Tribolium castaneum: one gene and its partner. The protein of the gene in region 2 purifies or fractionates together with the protein of the main gene of each other region. This does not show direct contact. Links are inferred from orthologs where the notes say so. Each region holds a gene or a part of one and is shown on either strand. Other genes may lie near its edges. The genes, in order: Exo70 and Sec10.

The links.
Region 1: the proteins of Sec10 (region 2) and Exo70 fractionate together in Homo sapiens (co-fractionation; 4 studies listed by BioGRID and IntAct, with this or other methods). This does not show direct contact. The link is inferred for Tribolium castaneum from reciprocal best matches to the Homo sapiens genes EXOC5 and EXOC7.

What each region holds. Positions count from the first base shown.
Region 1 is NC_087399.1:7,106,184-7,110,526, reverse strand, and holds the start of Exo70 (exocyst complex component 7), read right to left. Parts: upstream 2,879-4,343; 5' UTR 2,720-2,878; intron 1,766-2,719; exon of another isoform or gene 1,078-1,765; coding exon of another isoform or gene 776-1,077; intron 1-775. Other genes in the region: stet (uncharacterized protein LOC657740), read left to right, coding at 776-1,077; 26S proteasome non-ATPase regulatory subunit 2, read left to right, coding at 3,146-3,190, 3,242-3,298, 3,349-4,022, 4,066-4,201. UniProt on the Homo sapiens protein: Component of the exocyst complex involved in the docking of exocytic vesicles with fusion sites on the plasma membrane.
Region 2 is NC_087396.1:19,821,584-19,826,146, forward strand, and holds Sec10 (exocyst complex component 5), read left to right. Parts: upstream 1-1,449; 5' UTR 1,450-1,648; coding exon 1,649-1,681; intron 1,682-1,731; coding exon 1,732-1,856; intron 1,857-1,904; coding exon 1,905-2,022; intron 2,023-2,066; coding exon 2,067-2,264; intron 2,265-2,309; coding exon 2,310-2,374; intron 2,375-2,423; coding exon 2,424-2,607; intron 2,608-2,655; coding exon 2,656-2,873; intron 2,874-2,918; coding exon 2,919-3,029; intron 3,030-3,080; coding exon 3,081-3,176; intron 3,177-3,222; coding exon 3,223-3,382; intron 3,383-3,431; coding exon 3,432-3,667; intron 3,668-3,713; coding exon 3,714-3,800; intron 3,801-3,845; coding exon 3,846-3,951; intron 3,952-3,995; coding exon 3,996-4,152; intron 4,153-4,200; coding exon 4,201-4,445; 3' UTR 4,446-4,494; downstream 4,495-4,563. Other genes in the region: G patch domain-containing protein 11, read left to right, coding at 1-219, 266-529; transmembrane protein 50A, read right to left, coding at 689-795, 845-1,112, 1,162-1,266. UniProt on the Homo sapiens protein: Component of the exocyst complex involved in the docking of exocytic vesicles with fusion sites on the plasma membrane.

The DNA of each region.
Region 1 (4,343 bases), on a different chromosome or scaffold from region 2:
ATAAAATCCTTGAATTTTTGATAATGCCACTTCATTACTTAAGCTGATTCTCTTCCTTCATTTTTTACATTTAGCAGCTTATAGTAGTAATCTCCCTTTCACTAAATCTGTAGCTAATTCTGTATTGTAGTTCTCTAGTGTCATAATTAATGGCTTAAAAAGTTCTGGTAGATTAAGAGCAACTAAAACACTATCCTTTATTTCACTGTCTATTGCCTTCAAGTGTTGGGCAATTTTCATTTCCTGATTTAAATAATCATTCATTCCCTTACTATCAGCGTCACGAATCAAAACTAATTTTTCTGTTAAAGTTGCCACTCTTGGGAAACCTTGATATTCATAAATTTTCTTCAGTCTATCCTAAACTTCTTTTTCAGTTTTCTATTCTCTAACTTCCGTAAATATATGTGACTTGACAAGAAACACAATTGCTGCCAAAGCCTTCTTCTCCAGCTTTTCATCCTTCTTTGTTCCATCCACAAAATCCATCAGTTCACAATTAATTAAATGAATTTCTACTGGATAGGTACTTCCAATCCATGTAGTTGCACTTTCGAAGTTTTTCGAAAAATGCAGGAACTCCTCAGTATCACTTTATGCACAAGTTTTGTTTGATAAATAACCAGTTGTACGCCTAATGTGTTGTAAAACTTTATTGTGTACAAAGAAAACGTTGCTACAATAAATTACAGGAGATCCTGATCCAAATTGTAACTTCTTTATTTTAGACACTACTATCACAACACCAAAATTCAACTGACAATTGTTATTTCAGCCTCCTGCGACGTGGGGTACGCCATCTATTCGCGGTATGCCGCCGAAGCGATGGGGCCGCCGGTGTCGTACGTGGCGCACCTGACGGGGGCCCTGGCGGGGCTCACCATCGGCCTGCTTGTCTTGAAGAATTTCGAGCAGAAGTTGCACGAGCAGCTGCTGTGGTGGGTGGCGCTGGGGGTGTACGCCGCCTGCACGATTTTCGCAATTCTTTTCAACGTCATGAACCCCACGGTGGAGGCGGTGGAGAATTTGGGGGACGGGGTCAACAGTCAGTATGTGTATAATAGGTTCGGGGTATAGCCCCCTTTGTATAGGTTACGGGAACTCTCGGAGATTTATTTATCAAAAGCACTGAAACGATATTATTGCCCACATAGCCATTCCAGACCCGTTTTACAATACTAATCCAAAAATAAATCTCGGAGAGGCCGCTCTGTATATAATTTTTTTTGTACATATTTATATTTATTTAATATTCTAGACCAAAGACTGAAATGAGTAAATTCGAATGATTTATTAAGGTTTCGTTGTGAGGAAATTATTGTCAAACAGCATTTATCAAGTTCCTAAAACGATTCAAAGCAGGAGTGAGCGCAAACCGACAATTCCATTATTCACTTGACAATAATTTCTGCTTTATTTCACTTTCAGTTCATTTTTTTCTGAGTGATATTATCAAACTAGTCATAAAATTATTTAAGTATAAGCCTACCAAAGAAAGTGCTAGTTAATTCTATTTACACAATAATGTATTCGAAGCCTTATAGGTAGACGATTTTTCAATGTATATCACAAAGAAATTGTATTTTTTTACACTCAGGTAGACCACTGTTCACTGATATATGTATTTGTAACGAAAAAAAAAAAAAATAGAACTGATGGGTATTTCTTTTATAATACCTTTATTCCATTTTTGTTTTGTTATTATTATCACACTGTTTTACAAAACGCCCAACTTCCAAAAATAGTAATAAATTATTCAATTGTGCGACGACTTTTACTGAACCCTTCCGAAGTTTTTATATACAGGATGTCCACCATGGGGATCTCAGTTATTGTAAGAGATACAAGTTTGGTGAAATTAGGGCTAAGTTGCGCATTTTTATGCTGAACAATTATGTGCAAGAAAATGTTGTCATTTTTAGTTTTTGAGCTATTGGAAGAAAACGGAAATTTGTCATTTCCGTTTCTATTTTTTCAAGCAAAAACCAAAAGTACTAGACGTTTTTAAGTAGGACCTTCTTCGGGAACTTTTTTACAAGGTCATCGTATTTTCCAAAGCGTTCTTGATGTCAGAGTTAAAAGTTGAGTGTTGTAACTCTGACATCAAGAACGCCTTGGAAAAGACGATGACAGATTTAGGTTTCTTGTAAAAAGTGCCTAAAGGATTTCCTACTTAAAAACATCTAGTTCTTTTAGTTTTTTTTCTTAAAAAAATAAAAACGAAAATTAGTAATTTTTTATTTTTCCCAATAATTCAAAAACCAAAAATGGCACACCAAATTTTCTTTCAGATACTTGTTCAGCATAACAACGTGCAACTTTGCCCTAATTTAACCGATCTCGTAACTCTTATCACAACTGAGATCCCCATAGTGGAGCTCGAAAAACGGACACCCTGTAGACGGACAACACAAGTGGGGATTTCTCAGGGAGGCACGTAAACATAGTAGAAGCATAAAAAAGTGAAAATTAGTTATAATAGTGATTTAATTCATTGGTTTGTTAATAAAAGCTGTCTTCTTTTAGTTAAAATTCAATTTTTATGACGTAATCATGTAATTGTAGGAGCAAAGTGGCCGTGGTAATTGCTATACTAGACGGCCCCGAGCTAATTGTTTACAAATAAAATTAAACAAACTCATAAACACATCAAAATGGGGACTTTACCCACATAAAAAATCTGGATTTTAAAAAGTTCTAAAGCGACATTCGGACTTACCGCCGTCCATTAATCGTAAAAACATCGGTAATTTGAGCAATTTCTTCAATTTCTGGACACCAACAAACACTAAATTGGGGCTATTTACCCAAAAGGGGCTTAAGACGCACTTATGAAACAAGCGGCAAAAACTAAATAAGGTTAGGGTACGTTACCAAACACTAACCTATTAGGCCAGAAGATGGCGCAAGCTTACGAATTAAAAAATATCTGCAAAAAAATTAAACCTTACGGCATAAATTAAGAAAAACAATCCGAATGACCTTTAGGACCGTCACAAGGCATATCAAACTTATCCATAATTTAATTTTCAATTTTTATTGAGCTTTTAGGCGGAAACGGAAACGCCAAAACGTCAAATTGAAATTTTTGCATGTCATTTGAAACGGTCGCTCCTTTTGCCCATTTTTGCAAAAATTCGCCGAAATGGCAGCTGCAGCAATCCGAAAACCGGTGATTCCCAAAGATGACGTAAGAAAATCCCCTATTTATTTAATACTTTAAACGGGGCCCAAATTTTAGTCGGACGATGATAAGGAATTACAAGTGGAGCTAAAGGGTCTCGTGGACCGAATTACGGTGAGTTTTTCCATCATCAAAATAATAAAAAACCACGTAAATATATACAGGGTGACGAATCGAAGCTAGTGAATGTGTCCCTCGACATGTTAAAGTACTTAATACGGACCTCAACCTCGTCCATGACGTCCGTCCCAAAGCCCCTCAAATACCTGGCCCCTTTTTACGGGGCCCTGCGCAACAAATGCGACTCGATGAAGGACCCCCTCCTGAAAAAAAATCTCTCCGATGTCGTCTCCGTCCTGTCCATGGGGGCTATCGACGGGAGCGTGAAACGCGACTTCGACTGTCTCAAGTACTGTCTCCAAGGCACGATGGAGAACATCGGCGATTGGGGGCATGAATACATCCGCCAGCTGGAGATCGAAATCGTCAAACAGTGGGTCATGTGCGAGAACAACTACAAGACTCTGAGCCCCCTTGTCAAGCAGATCATGAGGTTTAACTGCAGCCACCACGACGAGATACAAGGCTGCGACCTTTTAATGGAAATCAACCAGATGTACATGCTCTTCGATTACGTCACGAGGGAAAACTACAAGCCCATTTGCTTGTACCTAGCCTCCTGTGCAAAATATGTGGACGATCTCGAGAGCAAAAAAATACTGAAGCTTATTTCGCAGTTCTATTATCTTTTTCAGGAGCATTGTCGCTGTTTGGTCGTCGCGATTCAAATCAAAGACTCGGCTTTGATCGAGAAACTCTTCAATACGTGCACTGACAAGTAATCTAGTCGGCGTTTCAAACAATTTTTCACTCATTTTTAGGATCACACTGTATCAAATGGCCTTCATATGCGCCCGACACCTCTACCCAATCGAATTTAATCTCGACGATGACGACGTGAGGAGCATTCTCGAGAATAGTCACTTGAGCCACTATTTTTTAAGTTTTGCACGTGAGGTTAGTGACAATTTTTATTCATTTGGCTTAAATTTGCCATTTTCCGTCTTGTGATGTTGTATTTTGGGGTCAAAATGCGAAATTTCCGGAAGAAATTCAAATTTCCCGCCTTGTGTTTCGGCGCCAAATTCAAATTTTTCTC
Region 2 (4,563 bases):
GAGCCCATTAAAATAGAACTAAGGAGTGGCAAGTCAGGGGTTGGGTTAGAAAGCCATTTTAAGGAAAAAGTTACCAGGAAGAAGGTTCACAAAGAGGAGACTCTTGCAAAGAAAATGGACGCGTTTCATACAAGTATTAAAAATAAACAAGCCCAGAAGTTGCTCTGTAAGGATTTTGTTAAAGCGCAGAGAGCTTGTGAAGATTTGGATTTAAGAAAGGTGAACACGTTGCTAACGAGTCAAGTGTGTTATTTACTTGTTTTAGAACACTGATGAGCCAATTCAGGAGTTTTATTGGACGAGGGAAACAATTAAGAAGAAGAGAGGTGTTCAAGACGATGAGGAAGAAGAGGAACAGTTTAATGAAGAATTTGATTCCTACTTTACTGATGAAAATTTAAGCGAACTAATTCATTATCTAAGAAACACGCATTTATATTGCATGTTTTGTGCATTTGTCGCAACTGACGAAAATGACTTAAGTACAAGTTGTCCAGGTCCTAACAGAAGCGATCACGATGACGATTAAATAAATTGTGATTTTTAATTTATGTTTTATTTATTTAGCAAATAATAAATTACACAATATTACAACCTAGTTTTTACACTTTACACTTAATAAAAAATTAATTGTTATGCTCATGAAGGGTAAAATTTGCAACATAAAAGTATGAGTGTGAATTACTTTCTATGTCCAAATGTCTTCAGATCTACCAAACTTGAATATGAGTGACGCGATAAAAATAAACACGTTCTGCAAAAATATAGCGACTCCCGGCCAATAGTGAGGCACCTCTGTAAAAAAACTCAATTAAAGTTTGCAATTTTTTACAAAAACTCTTACTCTTGTTGACGAAATCAGCAAATAATATTCCACAAGAGGCAATCACAGATGCAAAACCCATTACAAAACCGACAAAAAGCCACACTTTGGCGCCTCGGGGGCCCAAACAGCCCCCCTCATAAGCGTCGCCCCTCATTTGGGCGTTTGAAACGGAATTGATCATTATCAAAGACACGGCCCCCACGACCCCACACATGTGGTATCCTGCTAGGACAGTCCCTGGGTATACACTTGCGGCATCGATTATTATCCACCAGCCTACGAAAAACTAAAATTTGGATGAATCATGTCCAGTTGTAGAGCACAAAAAAGCTCACCAAAAACCCCGAGATCATTGAAGCGTACGCATTTCGCCTATCACCCCCTTCGAACCAAATACACGGCGGAATATTTATATTTTCAAAACAGTCAGCTATACCCATTTTTTCCCGATTTAATGGCCTTAAATGTAAACAAAAACGATATTTTTTTGGTGATTATGAACTAATGACTTGGGGATTTTATTGTGCGTTTGACGTTTCGAGGGCTTGGTGACACTGGACGTCAGCTGATTAAAAGTTATTTTTTAATTATTTTTAATTAATAAGTCGAAACCACCCAGAAAAAAAATCGTGTGTGATAACGCGCACCCAAAATATACCAGAAATTGTCATAAATTGTAGTTTTAACACCAATAACAAAGGTCTACTTTGTTGTAACCTAAGATTGGTTGGACGTCAAACTGACAGGTGTCAAGTCAAGCCAAAAATAAATAAATTCATGTTTATATCTCCTCCAGTTTAAAGGAAAAAATTTCGCGTCAAAATGATGCAACAATATATGAAAGAACTGGAGCAGGTATTTAACTCCACTTGTAAGTCTTTGCATAAACGCCCCCTAATCTTTAGGAACCGTTTGATGCTGAAGAATTTGTTGAAAGATTAGCTTGGCGCACAATAGCTGAAACAAAAAATGACGGTGATGAGGACTTTAATCCAACATTGCTGCATGACTCGTTTGTTCAAGCTATTAAGTAAGAATTAGGCTTGTGTAAGTCCCATAACTGGGTTCGTTTTTGTAGAGACTTAACTTTGCTCCAAGAAAGGCAAAAAAAGAAATGTGAAAGGCTCGAAGCCGCCGTACGCGAAGACGAAGCATTGTTTTTTCAAAAAATCCACGATTTATTGGGGCAAAATAAAGTAGGTTTTAAATTGTGTTTGCAAAATACAATCCTCAATTTTAGCAAGCCATTGATACGTTTCAAGAGCTAGACGGAAAAATTAACCATGTGGCGACAAAAGTCCTACACTTGGGTGACCAGTTAGATAGTGTTAACGGACCTAGGGCAAGAGTTGTTGATGCAAAAAATCTAATGACACATTTGAATGAATTCTTACAAACTGGCCCTCTCACTTCAGAAATCTTCACCGACTCGTCAAAAGTATTTTTAATTTTTAAATCAACATTTGTTCAACATTTCTTGCAGATTGATGAAGCGGCAGAAGTGATACAAAAGTTGTATTTAATTTCACAAGACCTGCCCTCACCAAAGTAAAAATTTAGATCAATAATTGTAACAACAAACAATATCATGTTTTAGATTTGAGGGCTTAAAGCGCAAAATTGAAAGAAAGTACGATGAGACAGAGCGGACTTTAATTGAAGAATTCTCAAATGCGCAAAGGAGGGACGATTTCAAAAGAATGAAAGAAATCGCTAATGTTTTATCACAATTTAAAGGCTACCCCCAGTGCGTTGATGCTTACATTGAACGGAGTCAAGCTGTAAATATTATCATATTATCATTCCTCTTGTGGAAACAATTTTTTTAGGGTTGCTTGTTGAGTAAAGATGTATTTTCGCGTTTGTTTCCCTTATGTGAACTAAACTACGATGTTATTAAGAAAGTATTTAATAACCCGGAACAAGTATTGGCAAAATTTGTCCTAAATTTGTATCATTTGAAACTGCAAGAGTACATCGCGTCAAAACTATCCTCGAAATTAGATAGTTACAATTATTTAAAAACTTTGTACGAGTTATATGACAGGTAATTACACTCTGAATGATCCACCAGACTCACTTTTTATTTTAGAACCAATCAGTTATCGCAAGATTTATCCGTTTTTAACATGGGGAGCGACAAAAACTATTTAAATAAGCTAACAAGTAACATTTTCAATAAATACATCGATAATTACATAGCGTGAGTTTCCGTACTGGTTTGTTCCAATTGTTTTAATTAATCATAATGCAGATTAGAACTAAAGTGTCTCAAAGAACGCAGTTCTGCCAATTTGCAACGTTACTACGAATCAAAAAACCACCAAAAGAAACAGATCCAATCTGGCGGGTATTTTTATTATTTCGTGTTTTTCCCTTTGTCTAAATTTGTACAGGTTCCAAGACTTGAGACGCGACATCCAGGCCGTAATTGGGACAAGGGCCAACATTAACATAGCCCAGATTGAAAATTATGGTGGCGAAACATTCCTGTCTGAGGAATTAGCAATTACAATTTTGCAAGACACGAAACAAGCGTTCCAGCGTTGTCAGCTGGTACATAATTTGTGTAACTGAATGAAAAACAATCTGTTTTATTTTTTAGCTTTCAAAGCCTGAAGACAAGGCGTCCAATGCCAGTCAAATTTTAGACCGTTTGCTCAATTCTTTGCTAATTGAACACGTAGATTATGCGCTGGAGTTGGGGCTTCAGGCGATTCCTGTGGTAGAAGGGTCCAAGAATCCTCCAACTTTGTATTTCTTCACAGTGGTGCACCAGAGCAACAATATAACGCACTTGCTTGAGAAACAAATCACTGATTTAGCGGTGCCTCTCATTATGTAATTTCTTACAAAATTGTATAACGTATCTCAGATTTGTTTTTAGAAATACGCCAAAATACAGCGATTGCATGCAAAAGAAAAAGTTTATTTTGGAGGATATTGAACGGAAAGTTAACACCGGACTGGACAGGTGACACCCAAAAGTAATGATTTACTTTTTTAATTATTTTTCTAGAACTTTGAATGCTGTGGGAAGTTGGGTAAAAGTCTACCTGCAATCAGAGCAGAAAAAAACCGATTTTAAACCAGAAACTGACGACTTCGATACGGTCGCTTCTCCGGTAAATCACTTCCACGTTCTGCATAAAATAATTCCGATTTGTAGGCGTGCAAAGCAGTTTCCCAATACATAAGTAATGTAATTAAGGAGATCAAAGACAATTTGGACGGTAACAACGTTACTGCCATTTTGCAAGAGCTGGGAATTCGATTACATCGCGTTATTTACGATCATTTATTGCAGTTTCAGTTCAACACCGCGGGTAAATCAATTAAAAATGGTTTTGTGTTGGCTAATTACGATTTTTAAGGTGCAATGGTCGCAATTTGTGATTTAAATGAGTACCGATCATGTACTAAACATTTAGGTCCGCTTGTGGCCGAGTTGTTCGAAACTTTGCATGCGCTGTGCAATTTATTATTAGTGAAGCCAGAAAATTTGCAACAAGTGTGTTCAGAGGATTCTCTGGTGAATCTCGACCGCTCGGTTTTGCACAACTTTATCCAGCTTCGGAGCGATTTCAAGACACAAAAACAAAATTTTCTCAAAGTGTAATAAGGAATTATTTGTTAAATGATTAAATAATAAAGGCATATATTTACTATTTTCTGTATCATGTTTGGACCTACGTTTTAAGCGCACGCTTAGAATTCTTTAGCATTTTTAATTATTA